Linked DNA regions of Anolis sagrei. The protein of the gene in region 2 interacts with the protein of the main gene of each other region in a pairwise test. Links are inferred from orthologs where the notes say so. Each region holds a gene or a part of one and is shown on either strand. Other genes may lie near its edges.

Evidence for each region. The genes of interacting proteins can lie anywhere in the genome.
Region 1: the proteins of KASH5 (region 2) and GPR25 interact in binary tests that used the Homo sapiens proteins (3 or more experiments, as listed by UniProt). The two-hybrid records come from large-scale screens. The link is inferred for Anolis sagrei from reciprocal best matches to the Homo sapiens genes KASH5 and GPR25.

What each region holds. Positions count from the first base shown.
Region 1 is NC_090024.1:185,441,865-185,447,466, forward strand, and holds GPR25 (probable G-protein coupled receptor 25), read left to right. Parts: upstream 1-3,965; coding exon 3,966-5,048; 3' UTR 5,049-5,098; downstream 5,099-5,602. UniProt on the Homo sapiens protein: Orphan receptor.
Region 2 is NC_090026.1:22,017,410-22,024,242, reverse strand, and holds the start of KASH5 (protein KASH5), read left to right. Parts: upstream 1-3,813; coding exon 3,814-3,889; intron 3,890-5,595; coding exon 5,596-5,709; intron 5,710-6,833. UniProt on the Homo sapiens protein: As a component of the LINC (LInker of Nucleoskeleton and Cytoskeleton) complex, involved in the connection between the nuclear lamina and the cytoskeleton.

The DNA.
Region 1 (5,602 bases), on a different chromosome or scaffold from region 2:
ATACATAAGAAGAAGAAGAAGAAGAAGAAGAAGAAGAAGAAGAAGAAGAAGAAGAAGAAGAAGAAGAAGAAGTGGTGACAAGAAGCAACCGGAAAAGCTTTCGTGACATGAGGATTTAAAGACAGAACTGCAAAGACTCTGGCACAAGCCAGTAAAGGTGGTCCCAGTAGTAATCGGCACACTGGATGCAGTGCCTAAAGACCTTGGTGTGCACTTAAAAACAATCGACGCTGACAAAATTACCATCTGTTAGCTGCAAAAGGTCATCTGCAGGCATTATTCGGAGATAAATCACACAGTCCTAAACACTTGGGAAGTGTCTGACGTGTGATCAAATACAAAAGCCAGCATAGTGTTCTTGTTTGCTGTGTACTAATCTTGTTATGTATCAAATAATAAAACTTTATTTATACCCCACCACTATCTCCCGTAAGGACTCAGAGTTGCTTACAAAATAGCACACAATGGTGCCATACATACATAAAATACAATACATCAACATATAGAATCAATAACACATTTACATAAAAACATACATATAAAATTAACAAAAACAATCTCTATTAAATAGTATTGGTAAAATGTGGCTATAGTCATTGGTTAGAAAGATCCATAGCAATTGATTTAGCAGCCCAGCTGTATACCCATCAAAATGTAGATATAAGGTACTAAAGTAATTGGCAATCGGTTTGGCTACCAGCTTAAATTTTATTAAAGGCCTGCTGAAAAACCCAAGTTTTTAACTCTTTCCAAAAGTGCTGTAGTGTGGGGTCTTGCCTACGTTCCTTGGGGAAGGAGTTCTGAAGCTGGGGGCCACCACCCCCAGCTTTGGGCCCTCTCCCTCATCCCCGCTAACTGCACTTGATATGGAGGTGGGACCGAGAGGACGGCTTCCCTGGAAGATCTTAGAGCCAACACCGGTTCATAGGGGGAGATGCGATCACAAAGATAGGCTAGACCCGAACTGTCAGGGGTCCTCAAACTAAGGCTCGGGGCCCGGATGCGGCCCTCCAAGGTTATTTACCCGGCCCTCACTCAGGGTCAACCTAAGTCTGAAACAACTTGAAAGCACACAACAACAATTCTATCTCATCAGCCAAAAGCAGGCCCACACTTCCCATTGAAATACTAATAAATTGGTATTTGTTCTTCATTTTAATTATTGTATTGTTTTTAAGTGGTTTTTGCACTACAAATAAGGTATGTGCAGTGTGCATAGGAATTCATTCATGTTTTTTTCCAATTATAATCCCGCCCTCCAACAGTTTGAGGGACTGTGGCCTAGCCTTCTGTTTAAAAAGTTTAAAAAGTCTGAGGACCCCTGGTGTAGAGCATTGTAGCTAATAACCTGCACATTGAATTGGGACCAGAAACTTATTGGCAGCCAGTGGAGCTGCTTCAGTAGGGGCAAGGTGTCTCCCTATAGATAGCCCCAGTTAGTATCCTGGCTGCCGATCTTTGCACCAACTGCAATTTCCAAGCCATCTTCAGAGGCAGCCCCACGTAGAGTGCATTGCAGTAATCCATTCTAGATATAACTAAGGCATGGATCACAATGGCCATAATGCAGCATTTAGCAGAAATGTATAAAATTTAGGAGGAAAGGATCTTGTTTAAGAATTGATCCCCCCCCCCCCCCGGTGATTGTAGAGCTTAAAATACAGGGTTAGTCAAAATGAATAGGCCAATAAGAAAATTAATTTTAGACGAATGTATGTTTATTGTAACCAAACTACAGCTACGTATCGACAGATAAATTATCAAAGTTTTGTCTCACCTTCAGAGATGTTTGATATGGGCGCCCCGTGTGACACGGCAGACGTCCAAGCGATAGTCCAGTTAATTCCACATCCGTTGCAGCACATCCGACGTAATGGCATCGAATGCAGCACATATGCGCTGTTTTAAGTCGTCCAAGGTCAGCGGTAATGGAGGTCGGAACACAGTGTCTTTCACATACCCCCAGAGAGAAAAGTCGCATGGTGTGAGGTCGGGGGACCTGGGGGGCCACAGGAGGAATGGAAGATCAGTCACTCCAGCACGGCCAATCCAACGTCTGGGAAGGTGTTCGTTGAGGTACTCGCGTATACTGTTGTGCCAATGCGGAGGGGCACCGTCCTGTTGGAATACGAAATTGGGCACTTTCTCTTCTAACTGTGGCATCAACCATTCAGACAACATGTCAGCGTACACTATGCCTGTTACGGTTTTCTCCGCAAAAAAGAATGGGCCAAACACGTGACGGTTGGTTATTGCACAGAAAACGTTTACCTTCGGCGAATCCCTTACATGTTCCAATACGGCATGAGGATTTTCAGATCCCCAAAAGCGGAGATTATGCCTATTGACCTTCCCGCACAGGTGAAACGTTGCCTCGTCACTGAAGACCAGTCTGTTGGCAAAGCCTTCCTCCTCTAGTCTTCGCTACATTGATTCGCAAAAATCGTGTCGTTTCGAATAGTCACCTTTTTTCAAAGCCTGCACCATTTGCAATTTATATGGCTTGAACTGCAAACGTTTGCGTAACACGCGCCACACAGTTTTTTGCGGAACGTTCAATTCCATGGAAACACGATTTGTCGACTTCTGGGGACTTCGTTGAAAGGATGCATAAATGGATTCCACTGTGTCTTCGGAGACACACGGTCGTCCTGTGGTTTTACCCTTGCATAAGCAGCCCGTCTCCTCAAATTGCTTTACCCACCTGGAATGTCGATGAGGTGGTTCCTTGCCATACTTGGCTCGAAATTCTCGCTGGACCGTAATTACTGACATTGTTTTAGCAAATGTCATCACACAAAACGCCTTCTCTTTGCCTGATTCCGCCATTTTGAAAACAGCGACTCCTAGCGATGCCTAGCGGCATTAACGTACATGTGTGTTGCTCAAAAAAAACTTTGATAGTTTATCTGTCGCTACGTAGCTGTGGTTTGGTTACAGTAAACATACATTCGGGTACAATTAATTTTCTTATTGGCCTATTCATTTTGACTAACCCTGTACATGTACCAGATTCAAGATCCAAGGGCTGAATCTGGTCCTCTAGATGCTGGACTAAAACTCTTGTATTCCTCATCATTAGTCATCATGACTATAGCTGATGGAAAGCAGCAATTTGTTCTGTTTAGTCAGGATAATAGGATTTGAATTTAGATACAAGACTTCTGGATAGTATATCTTACTTTAAATTGTCTTGTAACCATTCTTCTGAGCCACAAGTACTGTTGAGTTGCAATTCTTACAATCCCTAGACCATGACAGATAATCAAAAATGATGGGAATTGTCATTCAATAACATCTGGGGACCCACAATGGATGAAAAGTAAAGAGCACCAACCACTATGTAAAGAATTATTTTTGGCCCTCTGTATCAACAGATTTTCCATCCATGGATTCAACAGCTCTTTGAAAGCAAACATAAGGCTGATGTGGCGCTTGGTAGAATATGAGTTTGACACCCCTGGCTTAAAGGTTGTCAGGGTTCAAATGAATATCATTCTGCAAGTAAGCCATTCCACTTGAGAAGCAACTCTTGATAAGCACTGTGTGAAAAGTCCAACATTTTCTTTGATGCATGCTTTAAGGACAGTGATATTTATTTTCTGATTTCATAAAATCTGCAGTGAAACAAGTAATCATCACTGGATTGCAAATATCCTGCTGCGACCATCATAGAAGGTTCCACCATGATCATAAATGTACACACTCTTCAAACATAAGCATCCTGATACCCAGTTTCTGCAATCTTAAAGGATTTCCAAAATTGGGTTGATGTCAAGCTTTCAAGTTGTTATTGCTTGACTGAAACAAACCTCTACCTCTTCATGAAAAGCAAGAGGAAGTTACCACTAGAAAAACAAGAAAACCACTCTTTAGACAACACCCACCTGTTATAGATTGAATGTGCCTTGGTGTCCTCTTGCAACAATATTGCTGAAGACTCTTCAGTGAATCCTTGTTAAGAGATGGAAGCTGCTCAATTGTCAACTACATCAGCAATGACAGAAAACTGGAGTAGCAACTTTGAAGAATACCCAACTGAATATGATGGATTGGATTCTATGAATATCTGCCACCTGGAACTACCATTTGCTTACATCTTTATCCCCATTCTCTATTTCCTGAGTTTTTTCATCGGTTTCTTTGGGAACCTATTTGTGATCCTACTGATGGCACGAAAACAAGGTAGCAAAAGGCTTGTGGATACCTTCGTTCTCAATCTGGCCATAGCTGACCTGGTCTTTGTATTTACTTTGCCTTTCTGGGGTTTGTCAGCAGCTCTTGATGGCTGGCTCTTTAGTGAAGGACTATGCAAGCTGAGCAGCTATACCATCTCTGTCAACCGCTGCTCAAGTATCTTGTTCCTGACAGGCATGAGCGTGGAACGCTTCCTTGTGATGACCAAGCGTTGGGATGCCAGGTCCATTGGAACCAGGAAGAATGCCATCACGAGCTGTGGCTGCATCTGGGCAATCTCACTACTTCTAGGAATACCATCACTGGTCTACAGAAATCTGGCCTTCAAGGGAGATAGCAAATATTCATGCCAGGGTGACCCCCCTGCCACCTTCAGTGTGGTCATGCTCAGCTTAACCTTCCTGTTGCCGTTGGGAGTCATCTTGTTCTGCTATTGCTCTATCTTCTCCAAACTTCAGAGCCATGCCAGACTAGGCAAAAGAAGAAACAATGCCCTTAAAATCATCTTTACCATCATTGGGGCATTTGTCTGTTCTTGGCTGCCTTTCAACACCTTCAAGATAATCTTCACTATGGCTCAGAACATTGATCTCTCTTGCCAGGCCCTGAGAACTCTCTTCGGGGGACTCACCATCACCGCTTGCCTGGCTTTCGTAAACAGCTGTATCAACCCTGTCATCTATGTCTTTATGGATCAGCACTTTCGACAGCAGGTCCTGATGTATTTCCCTGGATTTTGGAAAGCAAAGGGAAATATGCAAGCCTCCAGCATGTCCTTTTCATCTACAGAATCAAGTGTTTTGTTTGGCAGCAGGAAAAAGCTCCCACCCGCCACGTCTGTTCAGATATGAAACACAGTAAAAGATGTGTAGGTTTGCAAAAGCCTCCAAGATTTGGCACGTTTTTGGCTTGGACTGCTGAGAATAACCACAGGGTTTCTGAGTTATGTTGATTATGAAAAAGAGGGTAAGGAGATGGTCTGTAAATGTGGGTGGAAATTGATATATTTTGACTATCAGTTGTAAATTACAATAGGAAAAGAATTTATTTTTATCATTATTTCTAATGTGTATGAATGAAATCAACTCCCCACTTATATAATTTGACCCCATTTCTATTGCATTATAAGAATAGAAATTTAACATATACCCATCATTATAAAGCTATTTCTGCTTGCTAAAATTGAGATATGCTGGGACTGAATAGGAGAGACATGTACAAGTGTATCTGCAGCTGAAATGTGAATTATTTTGCTTTTACTTTCAATTACATATGTTCTCACCACCACATTTTTGAATGTTTGTATCGTTTTTACAAAATTGATGAATAGATCTTGATTGCTCATTGAAAATATTTAGCATGAAAGAAAAATAAATTACCTTATAATTCTAGACCAGATTTTTAA
Region 2 (6,833 bases):
AATGCTGGCCATATAACCTGGAAAAACCTACAACAACCCAGTGATCCCAGCCATGAAAGCCTTCGACAATACATTGAACTCTTGTCTGTTTGAGGCAAGTGTGAATATTGCAACTGGCCACCTTGATTAGCACTGAATGGCCTTGCAGCTTCAAAGCCTGGCTGCTTTCTGACTGAGGAAATCTTTTGTTGGGATGTGTTACGTGTCTGGAATTTCCCTGTTTTTTGAACATTGCTCTTTATTTACTGTCCTCATTTTAGATATTTTTAAATACTGGTAGCCATATTTTGTCCATTTTCATAGTTGTGGATCATGTTTCACAGACTCTTTTCCAATAAAAACTTGTGCTAATTTTGAAAAAAAAGGTATAATGTAGATGTAGCATGACCAAGAAGAAAGGGAGCAGAAATATGGTATTTAAAGGCATAAACCAGGCAAAAAGACTAGGGGGAGATTGCCATGGATAGCCTTGCATAATAATAATAATAATAATAATAATAATAATAATAATAATAATAATAATATATTTATACCCCCGCTACCATCTCCCCAAGGGACTCGGTGCGGCTTACATGAGGCCAAGCCCACAGTACATCAGCAAACAAAGGCAATAACAAAAACAATCAATACAAAACAGTTAATATAAATTACATAAACAAAAAATTAGGCAGCAAAATGTCTAGATGATGGAGAAAACATTATGAGAGCTTATGCATAGGGATCTTGTAGCATTTAGAGACTGGGGCCCTTTCCAATATGACTTGGCCACGGTAGTACACGCTTTGGTTACATCCTGCTTAGATTACTGCAACGCTCTCTACGTGGGGTTGCCTCTGAAGACTGCCCGGAAGCTGCAGCAAGTACAATGCGCAGCAGCCAGATTACTAACGGGTGCGGGGTACAGGGAGCACACCACTCCGCTGTTACTCGAACTCCACTGGCTGCCGATTAGCTTCCGAGCACAATTCAAAGTGCTGGTGTTAACCTATAAAGCCCTAAACGACTCCGGCCCTGTTTACCTCTCTGAACGTATTCTCCCCTACGAACCATCAAGACCACTAAGATCATCCGGAGGGGCTCTGCTCTCGGTCCCTCCGCCTGCACAAGCACGGCTGGTGGCGACGAGGGACAGGGCCTTCTCGGTGGTGGCCCCTTGACTTTGGAACTCCCTGCCATTAGAGATCAGAACTGCCCCCTCCCTCATGACATTCAAGAAACTAACAAAGACCTGGTTGTGGAACACGGCATTTGACAACTGATTTAATTCTTTGCCCACATGAAAGGAGGATGATGAATGGGATTGTGATGGTGTCAGACGATTTGGCTCTTTTAACTGGGATGATAATGTTTTAATGTGTATGGTGCTGATATTTTAATCATGTAATTAAGTGGCATTGTGTTGTTATTGTATATTTTTTGTATGTTAACACATGTTGTGAACCGGTCCGAATCCCTCTTTGAAGGTGAGAGGGTCGGTATATAAAAACTCGAAATAAATAAATAATAAATTCTATACTGCCATATAACCTACATATAATCTATATAATCTGTTTGAACTTGATTATATGAGTCTACACTGCCATATAATCCCGTTCAAAACAGATAATCTGGTTTTTACATGGCAGTGTAGAAGGGGCCTTATTCTTCCCGCCCTTTTAGGAGTGTCTCCTTCTTCCCTCAGCAAGGCCCTCTCAGTTTAGTCAGGGAAGGAGGCATTTTCACTCTGAATTCCCCTCAAAAGGTGGAAGGGCTTTTCAGTCCACTTTGCTTTTGGTCGAAGAGGCTGTTTTGTTTGTTTGTTTAATGGCTGAGGAGATTTCAGTGAGGGAAGAAATAATTTTCAGGGGTTGCCTTTGAAATATAGCTTGGCCTCCCCTCAGTTGCGCAAGGAGTAACAAGATGGCTCCTTGAAGAAGGTTGAAAGGCATGGGGAAGGGGCCCATTTTAATGGGAACTCTGCCTTCGTCAGGCACGGGCAAACTTCGGCCTTCCTCCAGGTGTTTTGGACTTCAACTCCCACAATACCTAACAGCCGGTAGGCTGTTAGGTATTGTGGGAGTTGAAGTCCAAAACACCTGGAGGAAGGCCAAAGTTTGCCCATGCCTGTTTCAAACACTCTCTGAAGTGACTATATCACAGGCAGGCATAATTGAGGTTTTTGAAGCCTTTATCTGGCAATATGTCATGCTGGCCACCTGACCTTGGAGGTGTCTATGGACAACGCGGGCTCTTCGGCTTAGAAATGGAGATGAGCACCACACCCCAGAGTCAGACATGACTGGACTTAATGTCAGGGGACAACCTTTACCTATGTCATTTATTTTGAGGGGAAGTGAAATGCTGAAAAGGGGATTGAAGTCTTCTTTTTTTAAAAATCTATTTTATTAAGGTTAGAAAGGGAGGGAAAGTAGAGGGATATTTTTTTTTCTATGCATGTAAAGTGGAGGAATAATAATGCTATAGGAAAGTAGGGCAAAAAAGAGAAAGAAGGAGAAAAAAATCATATAATAATAATAATAATAATAAAATAATAGTAATAAAAAAACTATCGAAAAATTCAACCAACAGCAGAATTTTTTTTAAAAAATTGATTGTTGACTTAGTCTTTTGAGGGTTCATCTTTCTCTTTAATTATATACTTTCCGTTAAGGGTACAGTTTAGTAACGATGTATTGTTGAAGGCTTTCATGGCCGGAATCACTGGGTTGTTGTAGGTTTTTTCGGGCTATATGGCCATGGTCTAGAGGCATTCTCTCCTGACGTTTTGCCTGCATCTGTGGCAAGCATCCTCACTACCTCTGGAAGAGACCTCGTGGGCCATCCAGTCCAACCTCTTGCCAAGAAGCAGGAAAATTGCATTCAAAGCACCTCCGACAGATGGCCATCCAGCCTCTGTTTGTAGTTTATTCGTTCAGTCGCTTCTGACTCTTTGTGACCTAATGGACCAGCCCACACCAGAGCTCCTTGTTGACTGTCACTACCCCCATCTCTTTCAGAGTCAAGCCAGTCACTTGACTCTGTTTAAAAGCCTCCAAAGAAGGAGCCTCCACCACACTCCGGGGGCAGAGAGTTCCACTTCTGAACAGCTCTCACAGTCAGGAAGTTCTTCCTAATGTTCAGGTGGAATCTCCTTTCCTGTAGTTTGAAGCCATTGTTCTGCATCCTAGTCTCCAGGGCAGCAGAAAACAAGCTTTCTCCCTCCTCCCTATGACTTCCCCTCACATATTTATACATGGCCATCATGTCTCCTCTCAGCCTTCCCATCTGCAGGCTAATCATGCCCAGTTCTTTAAGCCGTTCCTCATAGGGCTTATACTCAACATTCTGATCCTTTTAGTTGCCTTCCTCTGGACACATTCCAGCTTGTCAACATCTCCCTTCAATTGTGGTGCCCAGAATTGGACACAGTATTCCAGGTGTGGTCTGACCAAGGCAAAATAGAGGGGTAGCAAGACTTCCCTAGATCTAGGCACTATACTCCTATTTATGCAGGCCAAAATCTCATTGGTTTGCATAAATAAGAGTATAGTGTTTCAATCCAGGGACAGCTTTAAGCAATTTAGTGTACAGATTTTTGAACTGATGGCATTGTCATACCTATATTTTTGAGGTAATTCAACCAGGTGTTTTATTACGGTACTTTCAAAACCTGGCAAACAATTCTCCCGAAAAGTCTCTTGTTTTGTGAAGGCTGGAACCAAGTTCCTGGTTTGCTGGCTGCGCTTAAATAAAACACATTCTTTCTTTTTTTGAAGGAAAAGAATATTTCTGTGGAATAAATAAAGCTCTGACTGAAAAGGCACTTATCTGGTGATGGAGGATATTATTTACCACAAGTCTTTTGAAAATGCAGCAGTAGCACAGTTAACTGCAGTCTTATCAACAGAAGGTAAATATTAGTTGTTCCTGAAAAATTCAATCTTGTAATTGTTTATTATTTTATTGGTGTTGGATCTTAGAACCATCCTGTCATCCACGTTAATTTGAAAAAAAGTAATTCCTATTTAACAGTACAGTTTTGGTTTCAAAGCTATGGGCTGCTGTTGTTTCCTAATTTTGATGTTTGTGCCACTTACCCTAAACGACATTAACTCAGGCCATTCATAGTGACTCCAGTAAAAATGGATGCAAGTCTGAACCACATTTCTCAAATCAATGTTTAGATTATCTAAATATTGTTTTTCCCCCTATATGTTCCAAGCGTACCTGATTTCTAGAGCTACAGAGAGATCATGGCACAGTAGACTGGCATGCAACACACTTACTCTCCCTTGTTTTGACCCAAAATCCCAAATGATTATTTTACAAACTTGGGCTAGTATGCAAAGTGCTTTATTACCAATGTGTGTGTGTGTATAAGAGGGAGCGAGCGCTTAGGTTGACATATAAATGAATAACAAATACATAGATTGTGGGCCTTTGTGGGCTGGTCAATGAAAAACCTTGGGGCTGAGTGTTCTTTCCAGTTCTTGTCCAACTCTAGATAAAGCTTGCTTTTTATTGTTGTAATATCTCTTTTTTATTTATCGTATCAGAAGCAAATGAAGGGTATAGTTGTAATGTATTTAAAACCACAAAGTTTAAAAATTTGCCATTCTATTAAATGTCCTTTGACCAGTAGCTGGCCACTTGGAGTGCCTCTGGAGTTACTATAAGAAGGTCCTCCATTGTGTATGTTGCAAGGCTCAGGCTGCATTGTAATGGGTGTTCTGTGGTTTGCCCTTCTCCACACTCACATGTGGTGGACTCCACTTTGTGGCCCCATTTCTTAAGGTTGGCTCTGCATCTCGTGGTGCCAGAGCGCAGTCTGTTAAGAATCTTCCAAGTCGCCTAGTCTTCTGTGTGCCGGGAGGAGTCTCATTCGGTATCAGCCATGGCTTGAGGTTCCAGGTTTTTGCCTGCCACTTGCCTGCCACTGTAATATCTCTAATATGAATACAAATGCTTTCTCTAGTTTCAGTCATTCTCCATTTTAGTTCAGTTCTGTGCCACAAAATAGGCGACACCTGTGTGGCAGTCATTGGTCTGATGTCACTGATCTACTTTACTATGATTTCCAATTTAGTTTGTAACTCAATCCCTAGTAGAAATTATTGTAATGTTGCATTGGTGCAGTTCTTCATCTAGTTCTGTGGAGTGTGAGTCATGCAAATTGTACATCAAATACTTTTCAGTTGGATGCTTTATCCGCTCTTCACATTTGGTTTTATGACAAATTAGGGTATTCTGAGAGAGAGAGAAAAATAGAGTTACTGTACATGCTGCTTCATACATACTCATCTGGCTTTTAAGCCATTAAGTTGCTCAGCAATTTTTGTTTGAATGAAGAAACCCTATTTGAGATGCAAGCACTTTGAGTAGATATGAGACATACCATTTCAGTAAAAAGAATGGACAGTGGGGAATTATGAATGGGAGAGATGAAGAAAAGGCCTAATATTGGATTTTGAGTACAGAGAAATGGGCTGTAATGTGGACAAATGGCAAGTCATTATGTCTTTTTAGTCAAGTGAGCTTATTTTAGATCTTTGTGGGTATAATGGTTTGCAGATTATCCAGGCTTAGAGGAAAAAAACTAATTTATGTGTTTCTTAGCAGTACCATGGGACAACTCTGGTGTTAGCAACAAAAACATCCTGAATGCAGACCACTGCTCTGAAGAAAATGTTCTGAAATGCACATTCAAGGCCTGTGATTCTGAACAAACAGGTACAAACCATTTCAGTAGTAGCTGGAAACAGTCAGCAAATCCAATGTTACTTTACTGGGGAAAAATTGTAGGAGAAAGACGTGTCTTTTCTCAATTTTTTATTGTTTTTATTGACTTGGAATTACAAACAAAATACAGCAATTGCCATACATAATGGAAATTACCAAGCAAGAGGATATTCAACCTAGTTACTTCAAAATAGGATTGACTCTCTGTTCTCTTTTTATTGCAAGGGAATTCCTCTTTCAGTCTCAGGACCCTATCACACTTTAACTGCCATGGTAATATCATATACGATCCTGGGTTTTCCACTTTAGGTAGGAGCATTTAGAATTCTCCGACAAAAAAACTCTTGGCCCTCATTAAACTACAAGCCACAGAATATTTTAATGGCAGGTAAAGTGGAATAATAATGCTAATAGTGTGATGTGATAGGGCTCCAAGTAGAATGTTTCTTTTTGGTTAACAGCTTGTTTTGGAATGTGTCTCCCTGACTGGAATGAGGAAACCTTTTGTTGCTTACCTGTTGTATGCTTTATGGAGGGAAAAGTGTGGCTTCAAGGAGCAGCACTACTCTTGCCTAGTTTATTTATTTATTTAAAACATTTATATTCCACCCTTCTCACCCCAAAGGGAACTCAGGGCGGAGCACAGCATATATACGGCAAACATTCAAGAATTCATATACGCATGCATAAACATTAAAAACATTTATCGCAAGATTAAAATACACCATTTAAAACCGTCTTGGTCATCTGTGTCAAATCTAATTGGCCTGGTAATCTTTCCTATTGCTGCTTCTAGTGAGGAAGTAAAATGTGTCATCCAAGAAACCTCTTTGTCAAAAAGGGATTGGGAAGCAGCTCTTCTAAAAGGAAGAATTTGAAATGACATAGATGGATTTTAATTGAAGTATACACAGAAAAAAGTAATAATCAGGATAAAACTGGGAGGACATGGGACACAATGTATTGCTTTTAAAAAAGACATTTAAGAACAGACTTCTGTTTCCTATCTCCAGTCCTTCAGGTTTCAGATTGTTCAGCAGCCTTTTTTTTCTTGAAACAAAGAACTAGAATCTTGTTTTAAAAGATAAATTATCATCTGAGCTGCTTTTATGGTG